Chlamydomonas reinhardtii: one gene and its partner. The protein of the gene in region 1 interacts with the protein of each later gene in a pairwise test. Links are inferred from orthologs where the notes say so. Each region holds a gene or a part of one and is shown on either strand. Other genes may lie near its edges. The genes, in order: CHLRE_12g498100v5 and CHLRE_16g651500v5.

Region 1 (14,849 bases):
GCCGCCTGCCTGTGCCCCCACTCCCGCAGGAGCTGCTGCTGCTGCTGGACGAGTATTGGGAGGCGCACAAGTCGGAGCTGAGCGGCATACCCATATACCAGGTGTGTGTGTGTGTGCGCTTGTGCGCTTGTGCGCTCACCAATGCGCACTCCGACTGCTGGCGGCACCCAAGGGCTGGCATGTATTAAATCTTTGCTGCCTAGCTTCTCAACAACGCACCCAGTAGCAACGCCTACTCCTTCAGAACCTCCTCCACTCTTCTCCGGCCGGGCCCCCCCCCCAAATCGTCGTACAAAGTAGTATGCATGGACCCCACCCACCCGCCCCACAGGCCAGCTCTATGATGAGCAAGGCACTTGGTGTGTACCAGACGTACGTGGAGTCACTCAACGACGACATCAAGAGGGTCTTCCACGTGAGCAGCGGCGAGGCCAAGGGGGGCGGGGCCAAAGGGGGCCAAGGGGGCTGGTTGGGGCCCCCTTGAGGGACAGCGCCCGGTAGCTCGACATGCGGCGCCTGCGGCTTGGCCCAACCCGTGCTGACAGCCCCGCAGCGGTTTTCCCATTATGTACTTACTGTTGCAGTTGTTGCCCTCGTCCAGCGCTCTCCGACCGCTCCACGCGCTAACGATGTCTCCACCCCCTTTCCCTTGCCCCTCTGCGTCCCGTCGCGGCCCTTCAGGAGCGCAACCCCTTCAAGTTCCGGCATGTGCAGACGCTCAAGAACCCCGCCCACTTCATCTCCGACTACAGCGGCCCCTGCGTCATCATGGCCACGCCCTCGGGGCTGCAGAGTGGCGCCAGCCGGGACTTCTTTGAGGCCTGGTGCGAGGACAGCCGCAACACCTGCATCATCTGCGACTTCGCGGTGCAGGTGAGGAGAGGCGGGCTGTCAGTTTAGGGAGGGGCGTGTGTGTGCGTCCGTGCGTCGGTGTGCACGCTGTAGTGCTCAGGGGCGTTCACGTCTATGTGTTTGTTCGTCTGCGCGTCTGTGCGGGTGCAGTGCCAGGGCCTAAGGGAGTGGACGGGGACGGGTGCTGGACAGAGGCTTCCGTCACGGTGCTCCGGGCATGCCGCTTGCAGCCGGCATAACTTATGATTCGGTACCATACGTACCTCTCACGATGCCTAGCTCACCACCGCCGCCGCTGCCGCCCTCTCCACCGCAGGGCACTCTGGCCAAGGAGATCCTGGGCGGCCCCAGCTCCATCACCACCCGGGAGGGCCGCAGGGTGGGTGCCGCCTGGCCCGAGACCTCGCGGGGGCAGGGCCCGGTCCGCCCACCTCGAACGCCCCCTCCTAGCCAACGCGCTCGTTCAGTACTTAGCGTGCGGCAACGCTGGGCAAGACCCCAATGCCCCATCACTTAGCTCCGGCCCTGGGCGTCGGGCTTGCACAGTACTAACGGCAATGCCTCCCCAATCATGTCCACCGCCGCCAGGTCCCGCTGCGCATCGCGGTGCACAACATCTCCTTCTCCGCGCACGCTGACTACGACCAGACGTCCGGCTTCCTGGACGCGGTCCGGCCGCCGCACGTGGTGCTGGTGCACGGCGAGTACGGCGAGATGCGCAAGCTGGCCAAGGCGCTCAAGGACGGCGCCAAGGCGGCGGGGGTGGCGCGCGAGGTGTACACACCCATACTGGCACAGACCGTGGCGGTGAGTGGGCTGTAGCAGGGGCGTGGTTTGGGGGCGGGGGCTGGGGCAGGATTGGGGGTGATGGGGGGGGCGTGTGGCGAGATTTGAGCAACCAGGCCGTATTAGGCCTCATCATGTATGCAATATTAGTACATCTTCGTTAATATGTATGTGTTTGTTCATGTGTGTGCATGCGCCCGGCCAACGCCCCGCTGCTGCAGGTGGAGCACAAGCCCGACCGCAGCGTGCGGCTGCAGGGCCGCCTGGGCGAGAAGCCGCCGCGTGAGGGCGCGGCCGTGCGCGGCGTGCTTGTGCGGCAGGGCGGCGGCTTCGCCACGCAGCTGCTGGCGCCCTCCGACCTGCCGCGATACACCAAGCTGCTCAAGGGCAGTGTCACGCAGCGCCAGGCCATCAGCGTGGACGTGCCGTTCACCGCCATCCGGTTGGCGCTGGAGGTGATGTTTGAGGGCGTGGAGGGAGCCGGCACGCTGCCCGTGGCCACGGCACCGGACGCGGAGGGCGGCAAGGTGGGTGTGGGTGGCGCTGGGTGCAGGCGTGGGTGCAGGCGTGTGGTGCGGGGCTGGGCGCAGATATGGCTGTGAGGCTGTGATTGCGTAAATGCCGTTTGGCGGCATTCACACAGCTGTGGATCTGTGGAGCAATAGGACTGTACTTCAGGTACCCACCCTAGCCTGCTCGCATCTTCACACTGACTCTGCCCTCCCGCTTTGTCGTCCTCCGCTTCGCAATGCTTCGTGAAGGGTGGCGAGAGCCTGGCGGTGGTGGTGGGCGAGCTGGTGACGGTGCGCTACGTGCCGGCGGACGACGCGAGCGGCGTGGTGTCGCACGTGGTGTTGGAGTGGGAGGGAGGCCGGCAGGGCGACATGGTGGCGGACGCGGTGGTGGCTGTAGTGCTGCAGGTGAGGGGGCGGACTAGGACGCGATCGCGGGCTGGCGGGCGCTTTTGAATGGGCACCGGGTGCCAGGCGTGGTGGGCGGGTGTTGAGGATGTAGCGGGTGCATGGGACGGCAATGGAGGGCAGGGCGCCTGCAATCTGGGGTCACTTCATGTTTGCTCCAGCACGCTCTGAGCCCGCAGTTTCCCATCGCTCCGTTCCCATTACAACACAGTCCATTGGCGAGCCGCCCGAGGCCACCAGCGCCGAATCCGCCATGCTGGCGGCGCGCGCCGCCGGCGACGAGGCCGCAGCCGCAGCCGCCGAGCTCCACCTGATTGGCGCGCTGCTGCGCGGCCAGTTCGGGCCGGCGGCGGTGGACGAGGCGGGCGGCCTGGTGCGGCTGGACGTGGACGGCGTGGAGGCCGCTGTGGACTACCGGGCGGGCAAGGTGGTGTGCGGCGAGCCGGGGCTGCGGGCGCGCATCGAGAAGAGCCTGGACCGGCTGGCGGCGGCGATACGGCCCGCGCCGCTGGACCGGCCGCATGACTAGGAAGACAAGGGCGTAGCGGGGCTGTGGGGTTATTGCTGGAGGAGTAAGATTATGTGGTCGGAGTACATGGTGTCGATTGTCAAGCGAGCGTTCAGGTGGGATAGAATGCGCTTGGTTGGCGGCGGGTCCTACGCTCCTTGGCGGGATCTGTACTTCTGCTTTCTGACCGACTCCGTGTCTGCAGGATGGATAGGGGTAGTGCTGCGCGCCGAACTGAAGTATATGTGGGAGTCCAGTAAGCAGTTAGGCGGCGACACAGTCTCAGACCGCACCGGCAAGTAATGCCCACCACCGCCGGCACCGCGCATAACCGCATATGAATGCAGGAGCAGACCGACACAGACAATGCCAGTCCTCATGTAACAACGTGTCGCAGCACAAACGGGCGCTGGCCCCAGCCCCGGCGGCAACGAACCAAAACCGGGCGCAGCACCTGCCTTGCATCACATGCCTCACTCCACTGCACTAGTGCATCTAGCCTGCTACAGTTTTGCAGAGGCTACTCTTGCCTCTATGGTGATGCCATCATACGCACATAATCCAGTTCTACCCGCTAGATACCCCATTCGTCTCATCCATGTCTACCCGCTAACACCCGAATTGCAAGAAAGCGAAAATGCCTGCCTGCGCTTGCGAAATTCTGTCCCGACCCCTATTCCCCCGAATGGTCCTCTTAGGTCTAGCCCGAATCCTACGTAGTTTCAGTCTCGTTGGCACAGCGTTCACACCTACATCCACAGCCCGTGTGCGGACTGCCGCACTGCCACACTGCCTGCATACACGAGAACCTATCTGCTCCTCACTACGCCAACGCCGATTGCCCCCACGCCGGTCCACGCTCAGGCTTATCCAAAGCATGTGCCCGTCCAGGTACACTCTGCAGCCACCAGCAGCGGGCAATGCCGACCCTAGCCCCAGGAAATCCATTGCCTGCAGCGCACCAGCCCGACGGGAACGCGAATGCACCGCCTCCCTAGCACGAGACAGCCCATCCAATGAGCTCACCCGAACAAGCGTTGCCGAGTCCGTGCCAGCCGCGGCTGCACAGCCCCCCGGCACGCGCTGCTGCTGGCGCGCGCGAACACACTGCCAAGGGGGCGACCCCCCCGTCTCACGTCGCTGAACAAGCATGCCCTTGCGCCCCGCCCATGGGATAATCGTGCAGCTGCTGCAAATTCCAGCCGCCGCGCTCCTACCGCCCTTCACTGTATTGCAAAGCCGCTGTCGCCCGTCTACGTCACTGCTCATCTCATCAGCACCTTCGAACGCCGCTCGCCAGCGCTGTCCCACACCCGCTGCCGCGCCCTCCGCCCAGCGCTCCTGGTCTGATCCGTGCAGCAGCCGTCGCCAGCGCTCCCACGCTTGCTGCTGTAGAAAGCTGCCCATCCCGCAACGGAATCCCGTAACTCAAAGCTCGCTGCTGTCGTGAATCGCCTGCCGAAGCGGCAGACCGCGCCCTGCACACCGCTGTCGTCCACAAGCAAGCCCGCAATCTACAAGGCAAAAGGGAATGATGGATGGCGATCAGAGCTTGAGGTAAAGTGATTCCTCGTCACGTCAACCTTTCGAACCTCTTCGCAGTTCCCAGGGCTTCTTCCGTATCAACCGGCGAATTGTTGCACGTCCGTTACCAGGCCGCGGGTCCCCTTCCTTGCCATGCCGCGTGCGGAGCACCGCTGGAACTGGGCCTAGCAGCCGTCTGCCCAATGCAATTGCTACCCCATCTACCAATCCCTTAGGAATCCAGCACTCTTCACCTCCAGAGCTTGCCTTTCTATTCCACCCCATTCCCGCCAATACCAAGCCCCAGACGACCCCCTGGCCCACATGCATCCCCGCGCCCCCGCCAACCCCATCCCGCCCGCCGCCATGGCTCCAACTCCCACCTGCTTGCTGCTCCTCCTCCCCCGGCTGCTGCTCGCCGCGGTGCCTTACGGCTTGACGCTGCCCACCACGGTGTTGGCCAGCACGTAGGTGCGCACGGACAGCATCTTGGCCTTGTCCACCAGCTGCTCGTGCACGGACTGCGACTGCGTGCCCATCACCACCGTCCCCGACTTGGAGTCAATCTTGGCGTTCAGCTTGGCGTTGAGGATGAGGTTGGCAATCCACTTCTCCGCCGCCTCCTGGTCCATGCCCAGCCGCTCCGCCAGCAGCGCAATGGAGATGGACTGGTGTATCCGGCAGTACGTCTCGAAGATGAACAGGCGCGCGTTCTCAATGAACTCGTCCTTGTAGGCCGCCAGGAAGAAATCGTTGTCCAGCACCGCCTCGCACTCCTTCAGCTTCTGCTGGGCGCCGTCGAAGTCGTAGTGCACGAACACGCACTCCAGGAACTGGGTCACTGGGTCCGAGTACTCGTACGACTCCTGCTGGATGGCGCGGATGAGCTCCTTCAGCACGCTGCGCTGCTTCTTCTTGTTGATGACCACAGCCACCGCCACGTAGCGCAGCAGGTGCGGCGCGTTGATCTGGATGGCGGAGATGTAGGCTGGGGAGAGGAACAGGTCAATGATGTCGTTGCGGCCGTTCTCATGGTTCCAGAAGACGTACAGGGACCAGTGCAGCAGCCAGGTGCGCTGCTGCAGCTGCACCAGCGGGGGGGCGAACGTCTGGTTGTCGATGACCTCCTTCAGCTTGAACACGTCCTCCCGTGCCTCCTGGATGTTCACCGCCTCGTGCATGAGGATCTCCGCAGCGAGCTTGCCCCACAGTGCGCTGATGTTGCGCTCGCTGTTGGTGCAGAGCGTGCGGTAAGACTGCAGCAGCTCCGCCGCCAGCGAGTAGTTACCGCAGTTGAACTGGAAGCGCGCGTACTGATACAGCGCCTCGACGTGCTCCGCGCCAATCTGGAACTCCTCCTGGAGGAACTGCAGGTTGAAGCTCTTATCCTGACGGAACTTCTCCACCACATGCCTGTTCTGCAGACACTTGATAATGGGGTCCACGTCCGCCTGCAGCTGGCGAAGACGCGCCACCACCTGGCTGCGGCGGTCCTTCATCTCCGCAGGCACCTCGTCCACGCCGTTTAGGCCCTTGTAGATATCCATCGCAAAATCCACCTACAACATCGAATTTTTCGCTCAGCGACCCGGACTCAAACTGGAAAGGCCGATGGCCTCTGCACTCGCTGAGCTGCCCTTCCCGCTTCCGGCATCCCCAGCCTGTCCAATAGCTCATTCCAAGTGCCAGGTCTCCAGATCTAAACACTAAGCGCGTACCATGTTCGTCTTGTCCAGCAGCGCCAGCTTGGCGCGCAGGATGTCGTCCTCATTGTAAAGGCCGCGCTCTTGGAGGTATTCCATAATAGGCAGCGTAAGGTGCAGGTCCAGATACTGGACCAGCTTGGAAGAAAGCTCATAGTTGGTGGCAGCCATCTTTCTCTCGGCGGCGGCTACGCCCCTTGCCTAGTCCTAAGGCCTGACCAGTCCGCTGTGAAACAATTATGGGGTGGGGGCTGCGGGAATGACAAAGGAACGGGCGATCTACGCCCCGGTGCGCAGCCCGCTCTCGCGCTGTGCCGGATGGGGGTCCGAGTGCCCATCGGCCTGGCCCGCTCAAAACGGGCTTTCGGACTCCGAACTAATACATAAGAGGTTAGGTGTATGTATAGATAGGGCATCGGCACATTTCCCTTTCTCTGTAGGGAAATGACGTGATCTCTATCGCCACACTCTTGCGTTTCTCTGCGCTTGCCTACGCGACTCTGGTGAGGGTTGCGGGAGCCCAGAAACAGCGCAGCCAATCACGAGACAATGGCGGCTCCGTCGGCGGTGGTCCTGCCGCCCTCCCCCAACTGGTAGGCGGAGTCGGGAGTCGGGAGCCAGCGTCCGTGCTTTGCCCACGCCGTTCGCTGCTCCTGTACTCTTGATGCGTTTTGCAAGTGGTGCAAGGGCTAGAGTGTCAGGCCTGTTCAAGCCAGTGCGCCCACGGGCCGCAAACCCGCATTCCGGAAGCAGGGGCCGGGGTCACAGCCGCACGCACTGTCAACCGCCGATTGCGCCGCGCTATGCCACATAGCTCGTAGCCCCTACATGTCAGACCACATCACACCCATTGGTAAGGTCACTGATGCGCCTCACATGCCCACAGGTTCAGCAGCCAGGTGGTGGCGGTGCTGCCGAGCCAGCAGCTGGTGGCGTATGGCGGCCACTACGCGGTGGTGGTGGCCTGCGCGCAGAGCCGCACCGTGCAGCGCATGCTGCCCACGGGCGGGAGCAGGTGCGCACAGCCTTGGGTTGCAAGGTAGTGGGTGGGCAGCGGGTGGGTCGGGATGATTGCGGGCAGCACATGCAATTTGCTGCCTGCGCTCGGCCTGCGTGTTGCTGAAGCCGCGACGCGGCCTTCGCACACATCTGGTGGCGCATGTCCTCACGTGCCAGCAACGTCCTGGCCCTGGCATAGCGAACAGCCACTGTAGTGGAACCCCAACATGCCGCTCAGGACTTGCTCGCAAGCGTGTCCCTGCCGCGGGCCTGTCGTGCAGAGTGACATGTGTGGCGTTGCCGCCTGAGAGCGTCGGTGGTCGCCCGCTGGTGGCGGCGGGCTGCGAAGATGGTTCGCTGAGGTGCTGGGACATGGTCAGCGGGGAGCCGGTGCGCACCCACCGCAAGGGCAAGGCGCCCGAGGTCACAGCGCTGGTGGCTTTGCCCAGGTGGGGCTCATGTCGGTTCGGACACTCGCAGGGTTACGGGGGCTTGCGGTACGGTAACCTTGATGGCCAAGGACTGGTATAGGGGGGCAGTCTGCACTCTGGAGTTTCCGAGGTGGTATGCTCAAGCGTTGGTAGGTATCGCGTGAATGTCCTGTGGTCACCCGGCCCCAACACGGCTCCATTGCCCACACCCTTCCAATGCCGTAGCTCGCCGGTGCTGCAGTTTGTGGCGGGCGATGCCTCCGGCGGCCTGGTGCTGTGGGTGCCCGAGACCGGCGTCCGCAAGCCGCTTACGCGCGCGGGCTCCACGGCGCCACTTCTGCCCAGCCGCGTCCAGTGCCTGGTCGCCGTCAACGTCACCGGCCCCGCCGCCGGGGCCAGCGGCCGCGTGATTGCAGGGCTGGCCGATGGCAGCATCGTGTTGGTGGACGTGGCGTCGGCGTCGGTGCTGCTGACGCTGCCGGCGGCCCACCGCGGTGGTGTGCACAGCCTGCAGCTGGCCGGCCTACCGCTCGTCACCACCGCCGGTGGCGGCGGCAGCAGCAGCGCACCGGCGCCGGGGGCGGTAGAGGAAGCACGAGCGGCACCCACGCCTGGCAGCGCGGCCGGGGAGGACGCGGCCGGTGAGCCGGCAGCGGCTCCAGCTGCTGTTGCTGCTGCGCCCGACCTGTGGATTCTCAGTAGCGGAGAGGACTGCCAGGCCAAGGTGTGGAGCCTCCCCGCCATCTCAGCCGCAGCCGCCCTGTCAGCAGCCGCGGCCGAGGCGGCTGCAGCCGCCGCTGCTGGCGGTGATGGTAGCGCTGCTGCGACGCCTGTGCTGGCGGCGCCGCCGCCACCGCAGCCGCTGGTGACTCTGCGGCTGCCTCCGCCGCCTGCAGGCCAGCAGCCAGGCAGCGGCCCGAGCGGCCCCGGCGGCGCGGTGTCGCGCAAGGCCTGGGTGCCGTCAGCGCTGGTGCCGGGCTGCGACGTGGGGGGCAGCGGCAGCGAGCTGTGCGTGGCTGTGGCGGCGCCTTGGGGCCACGTGCTGGTCTACCATGTGTCTGTGGGTGAGTGGCAGGCACGTGTTGGGTGGTTAGTTGTGTATCTTGCGCTAGGGACTTCTGTGAGACCACATGTATTGTCGCACGATGCACTTATAAGTGGCACGTGAATCATTACGCCCCGCAGGCACCGGCAAGTTTACGCTGGCAACGCGGCTGAAGCACCACGCCCGCACCGTCTTCACGCTGCACGCCATGCGCGTGCCGCACGAGGCCACCACTGCCACTGCCGCAGCCACCGCCACCACCACCGCGCTTACCACCGCCAGTACCGGCAGCGCCGCGGCGGCGCAGCCGGCCGCTTCTGGTCTACTGCTGCCGCAGGTGCGGCTGGTAACCAGTTCGCAGGACCGGGCGTTCCTGGTGGTGGACCTGGAGCTGCAGCCAGCCGCCAGCGGCACGGCTGTGGCAGTCGCCGCCGCACCCGTAGCCAACGCTGCTGCTACAGCCGGCGAGCAGGGCCACGACTCCGGGGCGGAGGAGCATGGCGCCAGCCCCGGCCACGAGTCTGAGGGCGGCGAGCACTCGGAGGGCCACGGCGATGGCAAGGCGGCAGCGGGCGGCGGCGCACGCGGCAAGCTAGCGGCGGGCCGTGCCGACACGTGCTCCGACTGGCGCGTCCGGCCCTCGCCGCAGCAGCAGGCCGTGCTGTACGACGAGGCGGCGGCGGGCGGCAGCCACGGCAACAGCCCGGCGCGAGGTGGTCGGGCGGCAGGCCCGACGCTGGTGCCTCCCGGCGCGACGCTGGTGCTGCCACGCGGCGGGGCCGTGTGGTGGCGGTTGATGGGACTGGGCGGCTACCCGCACGCCCTGGACCTCAAGGGTGAGTTGGGACTGCAACAGGAGTGCGGCCAGCCGGTTGGGTTTGGGCTTGCAAAACTTGGCTGAGCCACGTATGCAAGATTTCGATCCAGTCGCATGGCTTTTCGTCACCTGTCCCCCATTGCACCGCCTGCAGGCCCCTTCCCCGGCCTCCTAGCCGTCGGCTGCGGCGACCGCACCATACGTGCCGTTACGCTGACGCCCGGCCCACTGGCAAAGCGGCCGCAGCTTCAGCCGGCCAATGCCCACGCCCACGACCCGCACCAGCCTGCCAAGCACGCGCGCAAGCAGGGCGCAATTGATGCCGAGGGCGCCGCTGCTGACGAGCACGTCGACGAGCACGAGACTGCAGCTGAGGTGCACAGCAATGGTGCGCCGGAGGCCGGCGGCTCTGGAAGGAAGAAGGGCGGCGAGGCGGCGGCGGCCGTTATGGCGGCGGCAGGCGGCGCGGAGGGCCCCTGGCCCAGCAGCCTTCTGTGGAAGGACGTGCGCGACCAGGTGGTGGTGGTGGCGTGGCACCCGGTGGACTCACGTGAGTTGCGGCAGGGCGAAGGGTGAAGGGCGGAGGGGATGCGGGGAAGCAGTCGCAGCAGGTGCGGCACTATGCCCGTGTCCGAGGTGGGCACAGCGCGGGATGGCAGCTCTTGTGCCTTGCATGCCGGCCACCGCCGCTTAGTGGGCTGATGCTAGTTCCCGTGCTGACCCAGCGGCCGCCTCCTCGCCGTCACCTACAGGCTACCTGGCGTTTGGCTGCGCGGACGGAAGTGTGGGCCTGATGGACGTTAAGACCCAGACCAGCCGCGTGTTTGGCGTGCGCCACTCGGGCCCCGTCACGCAGCTGGCCTGGGTAACGCCGCCAGCTGGCAGCGCGCATGTCAGCCACCAGGCGGCCGCGGCGGCAGCCGCGGCGGCGGCCCAGCAGCAGCAGCAAGGGCAGCAGCAACAAGGGCAGCAGCAACAGCTGCCGCCCCGGCCCAACTCGCGCGGCGGTCCGGAACGCCTGAAGGAGTCCAGCGCGTCTCAGGGCGCACAGGTGGCGCCAACATTGGCGCCCGCGCCCGGGCAGGGTGCCGGCCATCACAGCCACGGACACAGCCCTTCTCGCTCGGACCACGGCCAGGGCCATGGGCAGGGCCAGCGGCAGCAGCAGGGCTCGCGGCAGGGCACACCCAAGCACTATGTGCTCACTTCGACGCCTCAGGGTGCTGCTGCTGTGCCCGCGCAGTCCAGCCCCGAGGCGAAAGCCGCCGCGACCACGTCGCCGCCCAAGCCGGTCCCGGCGGCCCAGGCCGCGACGGTGCACGCTGCGGAGGCCGCGGCGGGCCGCCAGCAGCCCGGCGGCGCCACACGTGCGCCGTATCACCAGGGCGTGCTCGGCCAAAGGACGCCGCAGCAACACCCGCATCCGGGCCAGCAGCACCAGCAGCCGCAGCAGCTGCCCATGCCCATGGCCACCCACATGCAAATGCATGTGCAGGCGCCGATGGCGGCCTTCCCACCAGCCTTCCCGCAGCAGGGCTATCCGCCGCAGGGCTACCCGCCGCAGGCCTACGGCCAGGGCTACCCTCTGCAGCAGTTTCCGCTCCAGGGCGGCATGCCTCAGCCGCACCACGCACCGTACTTCAACAGCCTGCCGTACGGCGCACATGGTATGCACCAGCAGCAGCCGTACGGTCACGTGGCACCCCAGTACGGGCAGCAGCAGCAGCAGCACCAGCAGCACCAGCACCAGCACCACCAACAGCACCAGAGGACGGCTGCTGGGCCGTCCCGCGGGCGGCCCGGCCCCAGCGGCCAGGGCGCTTCTGGGGGTGCGCCCATGCCCCCGCCGCCTGCCGCGCCCATGCCGCCGCCGCCCGCCCCGCCGCCGCTGCCGCCGCCGCCCATGCCGCCGCCGCCCCCTGCGCCTATGCCACCGCCTGCCCCGCCGCCGCCGTCCGCGCTGCCCGGCCACATGACTCCGGACGGTGGGCGCTCGCACACGGGCTCACCGGCCACCACCCGCCCCAGTGGCAGCGGCGCCAGCGCGCAGATGCCCAGCTTCATCGTGAGCAAGGGCCCCGTGCCGGGCGGCGGCTTCAAGGGCCGCGTGCGGCCCGGCTCTGCGGGCGACCTCACCACGGTCGAGGGTGAGTCCTTAGTTTGCTTCTGCCGTGTGTGTGTGTGGGGGGGGGGGGTTGCAGGGATGTTTGGAAAAGCGGTACAGGATGCACTGAAGACTGCGGGGGGGGGGATCTGTCACGTGATGCAGGCTGCGGCTACGTTGTGGTTGCTGGGGTGTAACAGCGTAGTTAGCTTGACCTTGTTCTCATACAACCCACCCACGTCTTGCGTCGTTCCATTTGTGCAGGAGGTGCGGCGCCGGCTACCGACGCTACCGCTGCCCAGCAGCACCCGGGGGGCTCGCACGACACGGCGTCTAAAGGCGCCAAGGGTGCCGCACACGCGGATGCAGCTCACCCGGCGCAGTCCGGCAAGCAGCGTCGGGCCAGTGACGGTGGCCGCGCGGCCGCCGCAGGCGGCAGCGCGGGCCGCAGCGGCACCAGCCGCCTCGCTGCAGCGCTGTCGGGCCCGCCGCTCTTCCTTTTGAGCTGCGGCGGCGAGGGCCGGCTGCTTCGTTGGCCCGGCCCAAACCTTGACCCGGGCAGTGCGGAGCCAGGCCTGGGACCTTCACTGGCACAGGCCAAGCCAATTGACGTGAGTGACTGCTGCGGGTATTGGTGGCTTGCCACTTTGTGCTGTTTGTGCCAGGCTTTGCGTGTGTTAAGCAGTGCTACCTGGTGGACTGAGCAGGCCCCGTGCTGCTGCCATGTCTGTCGCCAATGCAGGTCGGTGCACAGCTGCAGGGCCTGGCGGTACAGGCGCTCGGCGCCGCAGCCCTGGCCCCCGCCGCCGGCAGCAGCGGCCACGGTCACCAGCACGGCCAGCACCACCACAACCACAACCAGCAGCAACAGCACGGCGGTGCGGGCGCGCCGGCCGGGTTGTCGGTGACGGCCATGGCGCTGCATCCGCGCCGGCCATGGCTGGCCGTCGCAGTTGCAGGCGGTGGCATGATCGTGGTGGAGCAGCCGGCCAAGCAGCCGGGCGAGGCCGCGACGAGCGGCGCGGGCGGCGCCCGCGCCGGGTCCGCTGGACCGTGGTCCCTGGTGGCCGCGCACACCGGTGCAGTCTCGGGCGGTCCGGACCTGCGCTACCTGCGCTGGGCGGATGACGTGGACGAGGCGCTGGAGGAGGAGGGCCACGAGCATGAACACGACACGCACCACCGCCTGGAGCACGTGGAGGAGGTGGCCGCCGCCGCCACTTCGGGCGCGCCGCCGGCCTCGCCGCCGCCGGCCGCGCTGCTGGCGGCGCTGTACGGCAAGGCCTCAGTTGCAGTGTACGGCGTGGCGGCCGCGCCCACCGCCGCAGCGGCTGGCACCGCCGTGCCTTCGACGCCGCCGGTGCAGCAGATGTACCGCCTGGCTGAGCTATCGGCGACGGCGGATGGCGGCGGCAAGGTGACGCTGAACGCTCTGGCCTGGCTGGGCCGCCGCTGCCTGGCGCTGGGCGCCGACGACGGCGGTCTGCAGCTGTGGGCGCTGCCGGAGGCCCGCGTGCTGCTGGCGGCGGCAGTCGCTCAGCACGATCCGGACGTAGACAACGGCGCCGCCGCCGCCGCCACACATGGCGTGGAGGCAGCCTCCGGTCCGGCGCCGCTGCGCATCAAGACGCTGCCTGCGGGCGGCCAGTACGGCCACCATGACTCCATCATCGCGCTCACAGGTCTGCTGGTGCCCGCCTCGGTCAAGGGCGCGCCCGCCACCTCCGCTGGCGGCAAGAAGAAGGGCCGCCGCGCCTCCGGGGCGGGTGACTTTGACGGCGAGCACCCCGCGGAGGCCGCAGGTGGGCACGACGGCGCTGACCACGGCCGCCACCACGGCCGGGGCCGGGCCGGGTCGCACCACGGCCAAGCGCACCACGACCACGGCGGCGCCAAACCTCGCGGCTCCGGCGGCGCGTGGCGGCCTGCGGCGGTGTGGCTGCTGTTCAGCGGCGGGCGCGACCAGGCCGTGCGCTGCTGGCGGCTGGAGGGCCGGCAGCTGGATGGCTGGGAGCGCGAGCGCGAGCACCAGGAGTCGGCGGCGCGGCAGAAGCAGCAGCGCCCACCGCCTCAGCACGAGGGCAAGGGTGACGGCGATGACCACGGGGGCAGCGGCGCTGCGCCAGCTCCGCAGCCGCCACCTGACGGCAGCGGCGCCGGCGGCGCCGGCGCGGGTTCTGCCGCACCGTCAGCCAGCAACGGTGACGCCCCGAGTGGCTCGTCGCCCGGTCAGCAAGCCCCGCCGGCGCCTGGCGCGGCGGCGGATGCGCCGGGTGCCGAGGTGCCGGGTGCTACAGTCGTGGCCGCCGGCATCACCGCGCCGGAGCGGTTGCTGGAGCTGAGCCCCACCACGGCCATGCGGCGCATGCGGCGGCCGCCGCCTGCCCTGGCGCGGCCGCTGCTGCCGGAGCTGCCCGACATGTCGCTACCGCACGTGGCCGCGGCGGCGCACTCACTGCTGTTGCGGCTGGGGGAGGCGCTGTACCCCCCGGCGGACGACGGCGGCGAGCATCAGGCGCGTGCAGGTGAGGAAGAGCAGGCGGCGCGGCAGCAGGTGGCGGCGGTGGCCGCCGCCTGTGGCCTGAGTGACGAGGCGCTTGCGGCGCACCTGATGAACGACGTGGCACCGCTGCGGGAGGCGGGAGCGGCGGTGGGCCCGGTGGCGGCGCCGCCCGAGCTGAGCTTCGTAGCATCGATGTGGGAGGGAGACGTGGGTGGCGCGCTGTCAACGGCTGCGGCAACGGAGGGCATGGTGAGCGCGGATGTCGTCGCGCTGGCTGCGGCGGGCGGGCGGGCTGCCTGGGAGGCGGCTTCGCGGCTGTATGCGGCGGGTATGGCGGCGGCGGGCTGCACGGGTGAGGCGGCCCTGGCGCTAGCGGCGGTGGGCGACCGCGCGGGCGCTGCCGGCGTTTACGCGCGCGCTGGCATGACGTGGGAGGCGCAGCAGGTGGCGTAGGCAAGTAAGATGCAGCAATGTGAACGCTGGTGAGGAAGGTTGGTGCGTGTTAGGTCAGCTCTGCATCTGCAAGTTGTAGCAGCATACCCTTCATGATTCTGATTAGTCCCTAAGAACTTTCAGCCCATATTTCAGCAATGTTTCCCGGAGCTGCGCCTTATTATTTTACCTTTGAATTCCGTATTTCCGCCCCATATCCCTGAA
Region 2 (14,839 bases), on another chromosome or scaffold:
CGGCGACGGCTTGTCCCTACCACCGCGGCGGCTGCTGGTGCTTCCGGTGACGCCGCCGGTAGCAGCAGTGGCGGCGGCGGCGGTGACAGCAGCAGCAACGTGGAGGCTCTCAGCCAGGCGATGAAGGACGCGGCGCGGCTGCGCAAGTGCATCCGGACGTTTCTGGATTCCGAGGAGGACGTCGCCGCCGCCATGGAGTACTTCAGGACGCTCATCACCCGGGTGCGTCCAAGCTAGCTAGGTCATATTGCAGCACGGTACAGGGCGGAGTTATTGTATCCTTTTCTTGACATTATCGGCGTATGGTATTGTTGACGTATATGCGTATCCTTCCTGCACTTGCTCACGACAGGAGTTCTGCGGCGACGTGAAGCGCATCCTGAATATGCGCGGCGGTCATCATAAACGTTATGGCATCATGAACTCCATTATCCACGAGGTCCTGGACCTTGAAGGCCTGTTGTCGCCGTCGCCGCCGGAGTCGCCGACGGCAACGCAGACGGCGCAGGCGGCGCAAGCGGCATCGCAGTCGCTATCGGCTGCACCGCAGCCACCGCCGCCGCCGCCGCGTGTGATGTCGGACCGCATGCAAGTCAAGGTGGTGGCGGTGTTTGAGGTGCTGTTCACCACGGTCGGCGGCGGAGGCGGAGGAGGCGACGGAGGCGGCGGAGGTGGCGGCGGAGGTGGTGCAGGCGGGCTTGGGCCGGCCGACGCGATCAAGGAGCTGTGCCTTCAGGAAGACTTTGAGTGTCATGACACAGCGCTGCACACCTGCTGCAGGTCAGGCCGCGCGACTTGGTGGCCGGGTGGCGATCGACTTGATCACCTCACGCGGTGCCTAGCTCCCAAAGGTCTAGTTGATTATCACGCCTCATAAGTGCGCATGCAGGTATGGGCTGGTGCGCGTGCTGGAGTGGCTGCTGCCGCGCGTGGACGCGGACGCGCTCACGGCCAGCACCAAGGACGGCTGGTGCCTGCTGCACACGGCGGCGCGCGCGGGGCACGGCCAGGCCGTGGAGATGGTGCTGCGGCGCTGTCTGAAACTAGGGATGTTTGAGCCATCAGCGCTGGAGGCCGGCACCTGGGTGAGTTACGGAGTACAGCGGGCGTGCCGCCTGCCCGCATGGAGTGCAACACACTCAGCCACCCTGGCGGCCCGTCCCACCGCCGCCCTGAGGGCATGCCCCATCTGGCCAGCCACTTGTTCCATCGTCGCCCGTGCAGGTGTTGCTTTGCGACATCTCGCACATCAACAAGCACTACCGCCGCACGAATGCCCGCGGCGTGCTGGACGCGGCCATGGAGCGGGTGAGTGGGAGCGAGCGAGCGGGCTGGTGCGTGGTGTGGCGGCGGGCGTGCCGGCAGCCGTGTAGTTTTATCGGGTTCGGATGTTGGGCGGCTCCACGGGTCCCGCCAATACCAGGCCACGTTCGCCTGCGTGCCTCCGCAATGCACGAGGCCAATTGACGCCCATTGCCGCCCAGCCAGCCAGCAACTCGTCGGTACAGTAACTCCGGCGTTCGACCAGCCGCGCACTCCTGCCCTGCCGCTGCCAATTGTATGCCATTTGTTGGGTTCTGGGAATCAGCTGCACCCTACGGGACTTCACCAACTTGCCTTACCACTGTCCCATCACACGCCCATTGCCGCCCGGCAGGTGTGGCCGGACCCCTCCTCGCGCCCGCGCGTGCGCAACGACGTGCAGAAAGATACACAGCTCAAGGCGCTGATGACTGGCCTGAGCCTGCGCTACCTGCGCATGGGGCGCCTCAGCCTCAGCGGTATGGACACAACTGATTAATGAACATCGTTATGATGCCCATCGTACCTACCAAGAGAGACACGGAGCTGCACGGAGCAAGGAAGGAAGAGGCACATGCGGTATTCCGCGGCGATGTCCCCGCACGGGGCCAACGCAAACAGTGCGTGCAACAGGGGTACATGCAATTACGTTCCGCTATGTATGCTACGCAAGCCATTATGTGGCTTCCAATGCTATGAGCATAAACGCTGGTCGGAGCATACGTAACTTTCGAACGGAATAAAGGCATGTCAGCACGTCAGCGCGCGTGCTGTGTAGGGGTCAACCCTAGCAGCGTGTGACACACAACTTGGGGGCTTCTGTCGTATGTGTTAGTTGCTACGTACTTGCTTGCTCGAGGTTGCTCACGATACTGCAAACAACATACCTTGCACAGTTCTGAGGTGTGTGGACTGCGATACGAAGGACAACGGTTTCTTTCACACTGTTCTGAGGCACAAGCACAGGCCTGCTGCATAGCCACCATCACGTACACAATGTTGCAATGCTGCGTACCTACGGTCGCGCAGCACGAGCCAAGCCAGTAGATTAGGCTGCAAGATGCGCAGGCGTGTGTGCGTACGGCAGTGTTACGGTCCTGCATTGTGGTGGTGCATTGTGCACGTGGCGCACTACCGTATCGTGCGCAGGTCTTTGGTTTGAGCGCTTCGCTGCATTCCATGATGGGGTTGAGTTGACAAGCTATTGAGCTGTCTGATTTGGAGATGTCGCACATGATTTTCGCTTGGCATTCTGTTGTTAGGGCGCAGCCGTGTCTTGTGCCGTTCGGCCGGGACCCGTGCATGCGTCTCTTACGGTACACGGCCTTTGTGTCACGTGTCTCCGCCGCCCGACCAGGTCTGCTTACACATAAGACTCGCGGGGCTTTACCCCTGCCAATGCGCCGCTGTGTTGGAGCTGAGTCGGTGGCCGAGTCGGGGGTGTTGTCTTTGCTGAGGGGAGCGCGGTCTCCCCGGTTCGACAAGGCGGAATTGTTCACCATCTTTTGCGGTGCCTTTGCGGTGCCTTTAACAGTCGTAGCTGTCTTTTGTAGATACACACAGGACAGCAACAGGCAGGAGGAGCCGTAGTTGTTCACGTGCTTGCAGTTGTTCGGTTGGCCGTTGAACCATGCTTTCATTGGTTGCAAGGACAAGAAGAGACAGTCATATGAAAGGGACATTCATGTCAGGCCAGGGAAAACGCCCTGCCCTGATGCGCAGGGACCTGTCAAGCACCAGATGAGCCTTGCGCCTGTGCGCAGCTGTGCGCAGTGTTGCCTTTGCGTAGGCGGTGGAGTGTGTTGTCCTCGGATGTTTACCGTGCAGCTCTGCAAATGGCGGCTGAAATGGCGCTCTCTATTGGGCTGTAGGCGCGGTATTCACGAAAGCGGAGAGTACCCCTGTCACGTACCACGGCTAATGAGAAGGCAAAAGCGGCCCTGGCCAGGCGTCAGGCGCTGACCCTGGAGGAATGTGGGCGGCATGTGTTGGAGGAAACTGGACGCGACCCTGCCTGTGCATCCGGTGGATGGGAAACGCATGACGGTTGAGTGTAGGTGGATTGACAGGGCTCAGGCGGGCTAGGCGGGGCTCAGGCGGGTTCGGCGGGGTCTAGGCTGTCTGTGCGTACCGCGTAGCTGTGGGAGGTAGACTGCGAACCAGGGCAGGGTGGTTTCCCCTTGTCTGGCTTGAATATCCCTTTGGTTGCATTGTCCCTTCTTGTAACCTTCATGCAATGTGCTTGCAATACTTCAGGCGCTTGGGGGCGTCGGCCAGGGTCGGCCAGGGTACAATCCGATCGGCGTACTGGTACAGAAGGTGGTCGCTTGTACTCGCAATTTTGTTACAAGTGACTGCCTCCAGAGCCTCCTCACCGCGTCTTCGTGGCACTTGAATGGCATGCACCGTGGAAGAGGATTACACCACACCCAGTCCGCTATGACCTAGCAGCCTACCCGTGTCCGCCCAAAACGCTCCTCGTCCACTACCTTGGTCCTTGCGCGGCAGTTCCACACCGCCTTGTGACATCCGCCTAGAACTGCAACCTGAATAGCTTTCCCATTTGAAAGCACGGATTAACCCGTACACACGCCATAGGTGACACGGCACGCCACACAAACGCGTTCGAAATCCGCTTGAAACCGTTAGCAGCCTGACTTGAGACCCAATCGCACTGTCCGCGTCTCCGCATCCCCAGCCTTGAGACGCACGGCGTGGCCCCGCCAACAGCTCGTTGCACGCAACCATAGTTTTACGAAACAGGACAGCGACAACGGCTGCTCCGCGCCGGGGACCGCCCTGACGCGCATCCCCACCGGGCGCAGCCATACATTACGGTCAGCCCGCTGCCGTGGCAGGCCTAGGCCAAGGGCGCACCGCTGCAGCTTCTGCGTAGTCCCAAACTCAGCCGCTCGCCCACCAGCGCTGTGCCCGCTTCGCCGCTAGCTCGCCAGCCGCTCCGCCTCTCAAACACCACCTGCCGCCGCACCAAAGCTCCTCCACCACAGCCACCGCACCCGCCACACCGACTGCCGCTGCTGCCGCTGCTGCTGTTGCTGACATCGCCGCCGCCGCCAGCCGCTTAGGGCGCGCGCACAGGGCCCACGGGCGACACGGGCGCCTCCATGAAGGACGCGCCCTCGCGGAAGTAGTTGACGGCGCACGCCTGCTCGCCGTTGGCGCCCACGGGCACCACGTCCACCTGTTTGTGCGTGCACGTGCGCGCGGGCAGGCGGGCGGGCAAGGTTGCGGTTAAAATTGCGCGGCCCATCTGGCATATGGTAATACGGCTATGCGTGTGCGTCTGTATCTGTTTGCTGTTATGGCACCGGCTCGGCGCATGGTTTGAAGCTTTTGCTGCCTTCAAGTCCCTGTCGTGCGAAGGCCCTGTCCACGTCATCACCACCTCATGTGGCTCCCACGCAACCCGGCGGCCGCGGCCCTGCTTGTGGCCCGAACCCCAACCCCAATGGCCACGGCCATGCAGCCCCACTGTTCATCCAGCTCTCGTGCCTCGACCTGCACATCCCTCCCCCTGAATCCCCAGGGCCGCCGCGCCGCCTGCTCCCCCGCCGCGCGCGCTGACCTGGATGCGGGCGCGGCCCTTCACCAGCTCCGAGCCGTCCGCGGACAGCTTGTACTCGAAGATGCGCGGGTGCTTGAGCACCAGGTCGGGAATGCCCGAGTCTGCAGGAGCACAGCAAAGGACAGGCAGCAAACCCGGGCTTGGTTGGTGCCGGGTGGGAGTGCGTACAGCTGTTCTGAGTGGCAAGCCGCATGGCTCCGTGACGGCCAGGCCACCCCCGGGCGGACGTGCAGGATGCTGCTGAGGCAGCATCGGGCTACGTTGGTGTAAAGCTGTGGTGTGCTCGCCACTGATGCCGCCGTGAACACGGGCGCCTGCCCTGCCGGTTCGGTCGCCTGGTCGCCCTGTTCGGTCGCCTAGTCATTCCCACCCACGCCCGTCGGTGGTGAGCTGTCTGCTGCGCAACCCTGGGCTCCTGCAGCCCCAGCTTGGGGCGTGTGCCCTGGCCAGGACCGCTGCATTGCCCGCCGCACTGGCGCTGGCCCGTCCGCGGCCGTGTGCCGTGCACGTGCAACCTCCAAAACCCTAACCCCGTTCGGCCGAGCGCCCGACCCCAGCTGCACACCCCAGCCCCCTGGCTGGCCTCACCCGGCACGCCTCTCCGCTTCAGGTAGTCCACCACCGACTTCAGGCGGGTCTCCGGGTTCAGGCCCAGCAGCACAACGCTGATGGACGCCATGTTGCAAATCTCATCCTGCTTCAGGCCCACACTGGTCAGGTAGTCAACCTGCGTACCCCGACCAAGACGCGTTAGCAACACTTCTTCCAGCGAGACGCGTCCATAGCGTCGCGAGGGGTCAACATTCACTCACCACGCCCTTGGCGCGCTCCTCGGTGGTGCGCAGCATCCCCTTCATAGTGCGGTCCACAATCTGCTCAATCCAAGGCTTCTCCCAGCCTGCATGCAGATGGATGTTAGCACGTCGCGCTATTACGCTAAAACAGAAGCGCGAAAAACCTACCGAGCGCAAAGAGCATCCGCTGCACCTTCTCGATAGAGGAGGGCAGCTTGTAGGGATCCTTCTCAGACCATGGCAGCGGCAGCTCGCCAGGGGTAGTCTTGGTGATCACGGTCTTAGTGTCGGGGCTTTGCTGGGTCACCCGCACAACGATGCTCGCCCTGCGCCGCACGAGCGATGGCCACGTCAATACCGCCAGCAATGCAATAAATCGGCTGAAACTTAAGCTGATGCAGTGACGTGGCCGCGGTGATCAGGGCGGGGCTGCGACAACGCCTGGTTTGCCCGCCGCACCTCTGCGACTGCACCGGCTGGGGCTTCGCAAATAGCTTCGACTGCGTGCGGGAAGAGCACGCCACACCTAGGCCTTGCCGGCCAACCAGCATAGCGGACATACTTGCGTTCTGGCCCTAGGTAACTCCGCTTGAGGCTTAAGATGTCGCGTGGTACGTTTCCCTCAGATCTATGAATTGTGCCGTGTGCCAAGTACGCCTAATTAAACATAAATGCGTGCGTCACAGTCAAGCACGGTCGGGAGAGCGCTCGTAGAGCGAGGGGGGCCTGCACTCATCATGCGGTCGGCACGCGAGGACCCTACGCCATTCCGCGTGCACAGCTTCATACTGAAGAGTTTGACTTTAACATAAACATTTATGCCCGCGCCAATAGAATTGCCCATAAGCTTGAACCGAGGGTTCTGAAGTTCAGCCAGCATTTCTCCTTTAACTACTGCAAGACTTTCATCGGATAGGTCCTCGTCCATGCTGCAGTGATAGGCAGGGGAGAGCTCCTTGGTCTCCGGAACTAGCGGGCAGATCCCGCTCCTACGTCTTTAGCTGCGCATTTTGGAGGCACTAGGCGAGGTCTGTTATCATGGACCAGGATGCTAAGATTCAGCAATATGTGCTGCTGGCGAAGGGCCTCCGCGGGCGAGGCCTGACGGACCTCATCGCTAAGGCAACCGGGGACCCCGCTGTGTTTGGCTTCGGCGAGCTGTTGGATGTGCAAAGCGTAAAGGAGGTGAGTTTCGCTGGCGATTTGCCATGGAGGGGGCATGGGCCCGCACACAAGGGCCATGGAGGGAAGGAGTGGGTGCACGGGTGGTGCCGGGTGTGGGTTTCGTGCGGCGTGTCAGGCGGGGCGAAGCTTTGTTGGACGCCGTCCCCTTCCTCAGCTGAGTCTCACAGTCGTGCGCCGCGCACATATACTGCGCAGCTGCAAGGAACCGACCTGGCGTCCCACAATGCGCTCCTACAACTCTTCGCATACGGCACGTGGTCCGACTACCAGGGTGAGACGCACGCGGGTGTGGATGGGGACTGGTGGTGCCTGCCACGGAATGGAACGGTTGCTCCGACCACCACATGTGCATGCGCTTGGCGCGTGCCAAGGCATCCGTGCGGTTGTCCATGCCCGTCTAGGCCGAAGAGGTATTATCGAGGGGTTTGAAGTGGAGCCGTGTGTCAAGCGTGCTGCGGTCAGCCGCCGTTCTGTGATGTGTACGTGCACGTCTCGCATTGTTACGCACGCGTGTCGATATCGCCTATAATGCCTCTCACACCTCCCACACCTCATAACCCACAGCCAACGCGTCCAGCCTGCCGCCGCTGAGCGAGGCGCAGGCGCTCAAGCTCAAGCAGCTGACGGTGGCGTCCCTGGCCGCGTCGGAGAAGGTGGGTGGGTGTGCGGGCAGAACTTTTCAAGGCTTGACGCATCCAGAGTACAGAGTAGGCAGCTGCTGGTCCTGTGCCTCCCCAGTCACCATCATGACTCCCGCATCTATGCCTGCCCCTGGTCGCGGGAGGGCCCACTTCCCCCTCCCTCCCCTCCTGCCGCGCCGCCCCCCCCCGCGTCTGCTATAATACTGAATTACTCTTTCTGGCTACGCCTTCACATCTTATATAGTCATGAATGTAACCCCCCCCCCGTGCAGGTGCTGCCATACAGCCAGTTGCAGTCCGCGGTGTCCATCAGCGGTGTGCGCGAGCTGGAGGACTTCCTCATCAACCACTGCTTCTACGCCGGAGTCATCACGGCCGGCAAGCTGGACCAGAAGCAGGCCTGCCTGCAGGTGGGCGCGTTGGGGCGGGGCGGTTCGGGAGCGCGGGGGAGGGGACGTTTGGGGTTTGGTGGCAGAGGCGGGCGGGCGGGCGGGCTGCGGGCGACGGAAAGCGAAGCAGCGAGTCATGCAGGGCGGGGGTTAAGAGGGGCGTGGTGGCAGGGGCGGAATGACGCTTGAGTGAGGGTGGGTATGGGGAAGATGCAGCAGGGTTGGGGCGACGGGCTGGGGCGTTGGGTTGGGGCCACGGGCTGGGGCGTTGGGCGCTGAGGTGTCTGTCCTCCAGGCGGGCGGGAGGTGATAATTTGTGCGGGGCACGTGACGGCACGGCCGTGCATGCTTGGCCTGCCCGGGACCCCAGCGGACCCCTGTCCGACGTGGCCCGGGGCCGTTCGGATGCAACACCTGCTCCTGCCGTCTGACGGCCACTGCCTGCCTGCCGCCGGCCTCAGGTGCACGACGTGATCGGTCGGGACGTGCGGCGTGAGGACCTGCCGCAGATCACACAGCGCATGGCGTGCTGGTGAGTGCGTGCCACCTGGGGGGGAGGAAGGGCCACCTGGGGGGAGAATGGGGCTACGGCATTCATGGATGCGGCTGCTAGCTCTCAAGTTGGCGGGTGGGCCAGGTACAGGTGCCCGCTCATGGTATATTCCGTATCGGATATCGCTGGGGGGGAGACGAGCGGAGCAGGAGCCGTGCAGTGCACTGGGGTTCGCCGCCCAAAGCAAGTCCAGCGCGACGAAACCTGCGGCCGCTTCTGACGACAACGCTACTCGACACACTACAACACAAACCAGGACGAAACCATGTGACGTTCCTTAACGAAACATTACAGGATCGCGGCGGGTGATGAGCTGCTCCGCGCCATCGAGGCGCGGGTCAACTACGCGACCGCCACAGCCGACGCGGCGCGGCAACACCGGGAGGAGCTGGACGCGCGCATTGAGGAGGCCAAGCGCAACATCAAGGTGCGGCAGGGATGTGTGAATCTCTGCTCAAAATTCCATCGTGGCCGCTGCGTACCCAGACTTACCCAGACTGGGCTTCTGGCTTTGGAACCGACTCCCCCGCGACCGCCACTACCTGGTAGTCCTGCCTGGAACCCTCATCCCCCACCCGCCCACCCCACACCCCACCACCACCCCCCACACACAAACACACACCCCACATCCCACACCCCACCACTCACCGACACACCACAACCCCCCCACACCGCCATCCCACATTCCAACGCCTCAGGCCGAGGCGCGCGCCAACGACGCGCTGATGGACGAGGGGCTCATGATGGGCGGCTTGGACATGATGGACGAGGACCGCGTGGGCACAGCCGGACTGGGGCTGGGGCCGGGCGAGCGCGAGGAGCGCATGATGATCATGGGGCCGGGCGGCGCGCGCGGAGAGCGGGCGCCGGGGCGGCCCAAGAGGTGAGCGAGAGCGCAGCAGGGGATGTGTGTGTGTGTGGGGGGGGGCAGCAGCGCAGCAGGGAGCGCAGCAGAGGGCGCAGCAGAGAGTGCAGCAGAGAGTGCAGCAGGGGCTGGAGGCAGTGGGGCGATGGGGTGGTGGGGCGGAGTGTGACGTGGGGTCGGGGTGTTGGGGGTGCGTGGAGGCGCGAGTTCTTGTTGCCGTGAATGCTGTGGCGGCGTAAGATGCGCTTCGGGGGCTGCTGGTGTCGCTGTGCCCACAGACGGTGTTTGCCACAGACCGTACTGACCCTCGGGTTGTGTGTCCCTTCCCACAGCAGGCGGAGGTAACTGGGCAGCAGTGCTGAGGAGGCACGCAGACTCGCGAGAAGGAAGGTTGTGGGCGGCGCAGAGCGCTGCGTTGCACCCGCGCATGTGGGCGTGGGAGCTGCTGGGTGCGGCGCCTAGGCATCTGGGATGGACGGGTAGGCGCTTGCTTGGATTTGTGAGCGCCGGGGTGGCTGGTTTTGTTTATGGCTGGCCGGCTGGTTGGAACCCGGAAAGGCAGGTTGAGAGTGGCAAGCTGTTGCTGCGAGCGAGGGGGAGCGCGCAGTCACCGGTAGTGCGCAGCCTGCGGCAGTTGTTGAGTAGGCGAAGCAGGCTGAATACGCAGGAGTGAGGCAGGGGCCACAGGAGTGCAGCTTGAGACAAGGGGCTAAAGGACTGCAGGGCTGGAATGCCCCCACTACACACGTTCACGATTCTGCTCCTGAACCTGCTGGGTGTGTGCGTACCGTGGCGATTGTGTTTATTGGCACGTGTGGGTCAGGGCACACATCGCACGGTACTGGTGCCGCCATGACGGTCGCCGCACGACAGCTGCTTTAATTCCATGAATGTACGCAAACCTGGGACTAACATTTGAGCGAGCCACCTCGGCGCGTCCTGGGCGGTGGAGGGGGGGGGGCAATCCTGTCAATTGACTCAGTACCCGATCAGCCGATCTCAGTAAATCGACGCTCGGGAATCAGTCGGGATGTACCCGAGTCTGCAGCACCTCCTTGAATACCGTACATCTTCCTCTGTTCCTCAAACACGGCACGGCACGCACCCGCTTGCTATGTGTCGTCAGCTCTTTCGGCGTGTCCCGGCCCACACAGGGCAGCAATGCAAACGCCAACACACAGAAAGACGCTGATGCCATTCGACTTTCCTTATGTTCACCCTTCGGCAGCAACCGCACAGCAATACCTTGACAACCACATGCCATTATGACGGTTGCCTATATATCAACTGGCACGGCCTTCGCAGCTATTTCTGTCAGCTATTTTTGTGCCTACGCAACCCCTCTTTCACAGCTGCAGCTCCAGCGACACGGTATATGCGCCGTAGAAGACGGGTGTGGTCACTAGCGCCTGGTGGTGGGAGATAGCTGTAAGCTTTCCTTTTTGTGTCAAGGAGGTGAAGGAGCGCGAGATTGGAGGTGTCAAGTCGTTTTTGACGGGTTGTAGATCCCATCCTGTTGGCAGCCCTGGTTGCATATGGCTACGGCCCTGGCCACCTGGGGCGGCTGGATCAGGGACGCGGCAACGTGCATACGGTAACTCTGCTGCTGAACAAATAGCATGGCTTGCTTCCTATCTCGCAGTTGGCACAAGCTTGGGCTCTACAGATACCACGGTACGGCCAAGTAAGCATCACGCAGAGTACATGCACCAGGAACATGCAACAGCAACATGATAGTTGACACCAACTCCAACTTTGTGACCTCAGCCCCCTGGGCCCTCAGCTCCTCTCGTGCACAGCGCTTAATGCCTGCATGGCGCGTCTTCTTCGCCACACCGTGCCAGGCAACCACCAACACGCAACAAGCAACGTCACACACCTGTATCCCTTCGTGGCGTTCCTGACGAATAGCCATAACCGTCAGAATCCGCGCTACTCCACGAACCTTGCCCTGTCAACGCAACCGAATTCGACTTTCATGCAGCATGCCACGCCATTCCCTTTTATTCTGTGTCCATGCAGCCGCTTACTTAGATTCAGGAAGTCAGAAGGCTACGGACATGGTGCTACATGTTCCCCATCGACATGGACCTTTGTTTTTCCCAACGCGCCTCCGGACTCCAAGGAGTTAGTGGGGCCACATGGACTTCGACGATGCAGTTGCTGCAGCCCATTTCCAATTTCCTCTCACAGCTGCAGCTGCAGCCCCTCCACCGCCTTCTCCAGGTCACTGCGCGACATCTGCGATTGACGGCCGCGCATCACCAGCAGCTGCTGCACCTGCGGCCGCCGCCCCTGCACCAGGCGCCGCAGCTCCGCCTCCACAGCAGCGGCCTCTAGCTTCGCGTTCCCATTGCCCAGTGCGGCGCCCGCAAGGCCCGGGCGGACCCGGTAGGAGGTCTCGCCGGCAAACACCCGCACATTGATCAGCTGACGGACACCCAGCCGCTCCTTGAGCTGAGCCCATGCAGTCGCAGGGGCCTGCGTGATGCCAGCTGCCGCCATCCCCAGGTTAGTGACCAGCAGCGGCGTCTTGGCCTGCGCTGGGAAGGCCACCGCCTGCCAGGCGTAGGCCAGGCTCACGAGCAGCGGCCCATCCGCTGCCGCGGCACCGCTACGGCCAGCAGCTGCGGCGCCTTTGGCCGCTGCATGCCAGGCCGCTGCCAGCAGCTGGTCTGCCTCGCGCTCCGACAGCAGCACCACCTCCCCGCCCGCCAGCACCAGCAGCCAGCCCACCGGTCGCAGGTAGTCGTTCAGCGGCTGGTCATCGGGCGGGTCCGCGATGGCGTGCAGGTAGTTCTGGGTCACGTACACCTTGTCTGACCAGGGTACAGCGTCCATGGGCTGGGTCGGGTCCTGGCTGTCCAACCAATCCACCGCTGTAGAAAGCGGCTGCAGCGTGCCGTGCGCGGTGGCTGCTTGCAGCTGCACCAGAGTGGAGGCTGTGCACGCGGTGGAGTATGATGGCCAGTCTGTCTCCAGCCGGGGCTTCTGCTTCGGCGGCTGCTTTTCTACCTCCTGCTCCTCCTCTTCCTCCTGCTCCAGCTCCCGCTCACACTCCTCGTCCGCGCCACTGCCGGCGCGGACGGAGTGGCCCTCGCCGTAGCGCGCCGCCAGCTGCTCAAGCTCATCTACGATCTTCGCTGCTGCTGCTGCCGTTGACCCAATGCAAAGACTGCTATCAGCATCGCCGGCTGTTGCCGGCCTGCCGCGACTGCCGGCGGCAGCCCGGGCTGCTGCGGCACAACTGTTGGTGCTGCCACCTGCGCCACTGCCACGGCGTAGCCGCGCCTGCTTCGCGGCCGCCGCCACCACATTGCCAACGGGGTGCGGCGCCTTGCTGCTCGCGTAGAGCTCTCGCAGGCCCAGCACCTCATCCTGCACAGAGCGCTCCGGAGCGCCGAGGGTGGTCGCGAAGTGCAGCCCCTGCGCCGCCCACTGCGCCACGCCGTGCAGGTTGGCGTCCACGGTGTTGCCCATCACCCACGCCAGCACGTCGACAGCGCGAGGGCCTGCGGCTGCAGCAACCGCAGCCGCTGCGCCGCCAGCTGCTCCGGATGCTGCGGCGTACTCCACCACGCGAGCAGCAATGTCAGCGGTTGCAGCGAAGCGCAGTGCCTGGCCGCGGCCCAGCTGCCGCAGCCGCCCCGCCGCCTGCATGAGCTTGTCCTTGCACACGCGCGGCCCCAGCGTCAGCAGCCCGACCGCGCTCCGCTGTAGCTTCAGGTCCGCGCCACGGCAGCGCGCCTCATCATATAGCACGAAGTTTTCGTGCTCCTGCAGCGGCGAGCTGGCTCGTGGCAGGCAGCGGCCGGTGTGCTCCAGTACCACCCAGCCGCGCGCCGCCTCATCAAAATAGGTGACGCCGCGGAAGCCAAGCTGCTGCAGGCGCTGCAGACGCGGCCCAGCTAGCAGGAACACAGCAGCGCGCCTGGGGGACGGCGGGCGAGGCAGGAGCGACGGGAATGAGCAGTTGTCAGGACGTGCGCATAAGGTTACAGCAAGCCTTGCGGCCCGCCGGCAGAGGACCGGACGGATTGCAGGATGGAAATTGAGAAGCAATTGGTAAAATCCGCTTAGCGGTGCTTCCGTGAAGTTCGCTTAGACACAAGACTGCCGCCCCTGTCAAACAGAAGAACTGGGCACCTGTTGCTGGTGCCCGCCATCAGTGCGCCGCAGTCCTGTACCGCATGCGCCCCAGTGTCCAGCGCCATCTGCAGCAGCGACTGCCACACAGGCACGCCGCCAGAGTCCTGCGGTGCGGCGGAGGTAAAGGGTTAGCACCGCATCACCTGTACTTGCTGGATGCCGCCCGGCGTTGTGTGGCCTAAGTCATGAAAGTAAGCTGGCGGTGTATGCAAGTGCGCTCGACTGACGCCTCACCTCTACAGACGGCAGTGTGTGGAAGCCACGAGTGCAGTTGATGATCACGTCCAGCATCCTGCCGTTCGTGGCCTTCAGGGCAGCGTCCTCTGGCACCGCCTGGTGCACGCGCAGCGGCAGTAGCCGGTAATTGTCATTGGTGCCGCTGAAGCCCATGACGCGGGCGCCCGCCGCCGCCAGGTCCCAGGCACTCGCCCCCAGCCGCTGGGGGTACTGGCGGGTCTCGGCCGGCAGCACACAGAAGCGCAGCCAGAAGTCCACCACAGCGGTGTTGCGGCGCAGGTGGCGGTGCATGGCCGCCATCTGGGAGCTGCTGCTGGCGTCCAGCTGGTTCACGTCCGCAAAACGAGCCAGCTCGTCTGCGAGGGTGTGCAGATTGGCCACAACACAAGCTTGAAAGAACCGTCGCATAAAGAGCCAGGGAACGGCACTGGGAAAGAAACCGCGCGGTTAACAGCAGCTTGGTCACGGCTGCAAGATCACATGTCAGCCACTCAGGTGCATGATGTTGTGATGGGTGCGAACATAACATGTGCTGTAAAGCATGTGCTGAAACAGTACACTACCATGAGCACACCAGCAACGTGCAACCAAGCAATTTCTCTCCCGTCGCACTCCCTCGCTCACCGTGCGGGATGCTGTCAACCGAGAGCTCCAGCCACTCGCGATAGTGGTCCGCCGCCGCCTCCTTGCCCAGCCCGTGCAACAACCGATCTACCGCGGCCGTGCACTCAGGCAGGGTCAGTCCGTCATAGCGGTATGCCAGGTGCGTCAGCAGCAGCGCCACGTCGGGCTGCGCGAACTCGGACCGCTCCGAGGGCGTGTGCGCGGCACCGTACGGCACAGCCATGCGCGTCCGGGCACGTGTGGCGCTGCTCGCGGTGCTGGCTTTGCGCCTGCAAGCATGTACGGCGGCGTAAACACTAAGACAAAACTCAAGCACTTCTTCTTCAGTTCTTTAGTTGTGGATGCGGTATGCGCCACCCTCACTTCCCTCACCTGTCGATGCCGTAGTCGACCTGTTTCCGCAGCGTCAGGCCGTGCCTCAGGATGCCGCAGCCCAGCAGCCCACGAAGCGCCAGCACGAACTCGTACAGGCCCGAGCCGCCGCCCGGGCCCGTCAGCTTGGCCATTAGCTCCT

The links.
Region 2: the proteins of CHLRE_12g498100v5 (region 1) and CHLRE_16g651500v5 interact in binary tests that used the Arabidopsis thaliana proteins (3 or more experiments, as listed by UniProt). The link is inferred for Chlamydomonas reinhardtii from reciprocal best matches to the Arabidopsis thaliana genes EIF3E and FUS5.

Annotation. Positions count from the first base shown.
Region 1 is NC_057015.1:3,271,711-3,286,559, reverse strand, and holds CHLRE_12g498100v5 (uncharacterized protein), read right to left. Parts: upstream 6,542-14,849; 5' UTR 6,465-6,541; coding exon 6,309-6,464; intron 6,150-6,308; coding exon 5,019-6,149; 3' UTR 3,440-5,018; downstream 1-3,439. Other genes in the region: CHLRE_12g498050v5 (uncharacterized protein), read left to right, coding at 30-101, 332-415, 682-873, 1,169-1,231, 1,441-1,659, 1,860-2,165, 2,400-2,558, 2,770-3,087; CHLRE_12g498150v5 (uncharacterized protein), read left to right, coding at 6,843-6,886, 7,180-7,308, 7,574-7,741, 7,949-8,787, 8,909-9,604, 9,740-10,135, 10,338-11,732, 11,954-12,300 and 1 more. UniProt on the Arabidopsis thaliana protein: Component of the eukaryotic translation initiation factor 3 (eIF-3) complex, which is involved in protein synthesis of a specialized repertoire of mRNAs and, together with other initiation factors, stimulates binding of mRNA and methionyl-tRNAi to the 40S ribosome.
Region 2 is NC_057019.1:1,296,139-1,310,977, reverse strand, and holds CHLRE_16g651500v5 (uncharacterized protein), read left to right. Parts: upstream 1-6,470; 5' UTR 6,471-6,720; coding exon 6,721-6,867; intron 6,868-7,062; coding exon 7,063-7,138; intron 7,139-7,431; coding exon 7,432-7,520; intron 7,521-7,780; coding exon 7,781-7,918; intron 7,919-8,358; coding exon 8,359-8,429; intron 8,430-8,744; coding exon 8,745-8,877; intron 8,878-9,148; coding exon 9,149-9,333; intron 9,334-9,647; coding exon 9,648-9,660; 3' UTR 9,661-10,227; downstream 10,228-14,839. Other genes in the region: CHLRE_16g651600v5 (uncharacterized protein), read left to right, coding at 1-222, 353-780, 890-1,085, 1,225-1,308, 1,658-1,801; CHLRE_16g651550v5 (uncharacterized protein), read right to left, coding at 4,385-4,504, 4,889-4,989, 5,477-5,615, 5,701-5,786, 5,851-6,008, 6,142-6,242; CHLRE_16g651450v5 (uncharacterized protein), read right to left, coding at 11,503-13,246, 13,462-13,568, 13,699-14,057, 14,326-14,594, 14,698-14,839. UniProt on the Arabidopsis thaliana protein: Component of the COP9 signalosome complex (CSN), a complex involved in various cellular and developmental processes such as photomorphogenesis and auxin and jasmonate responses.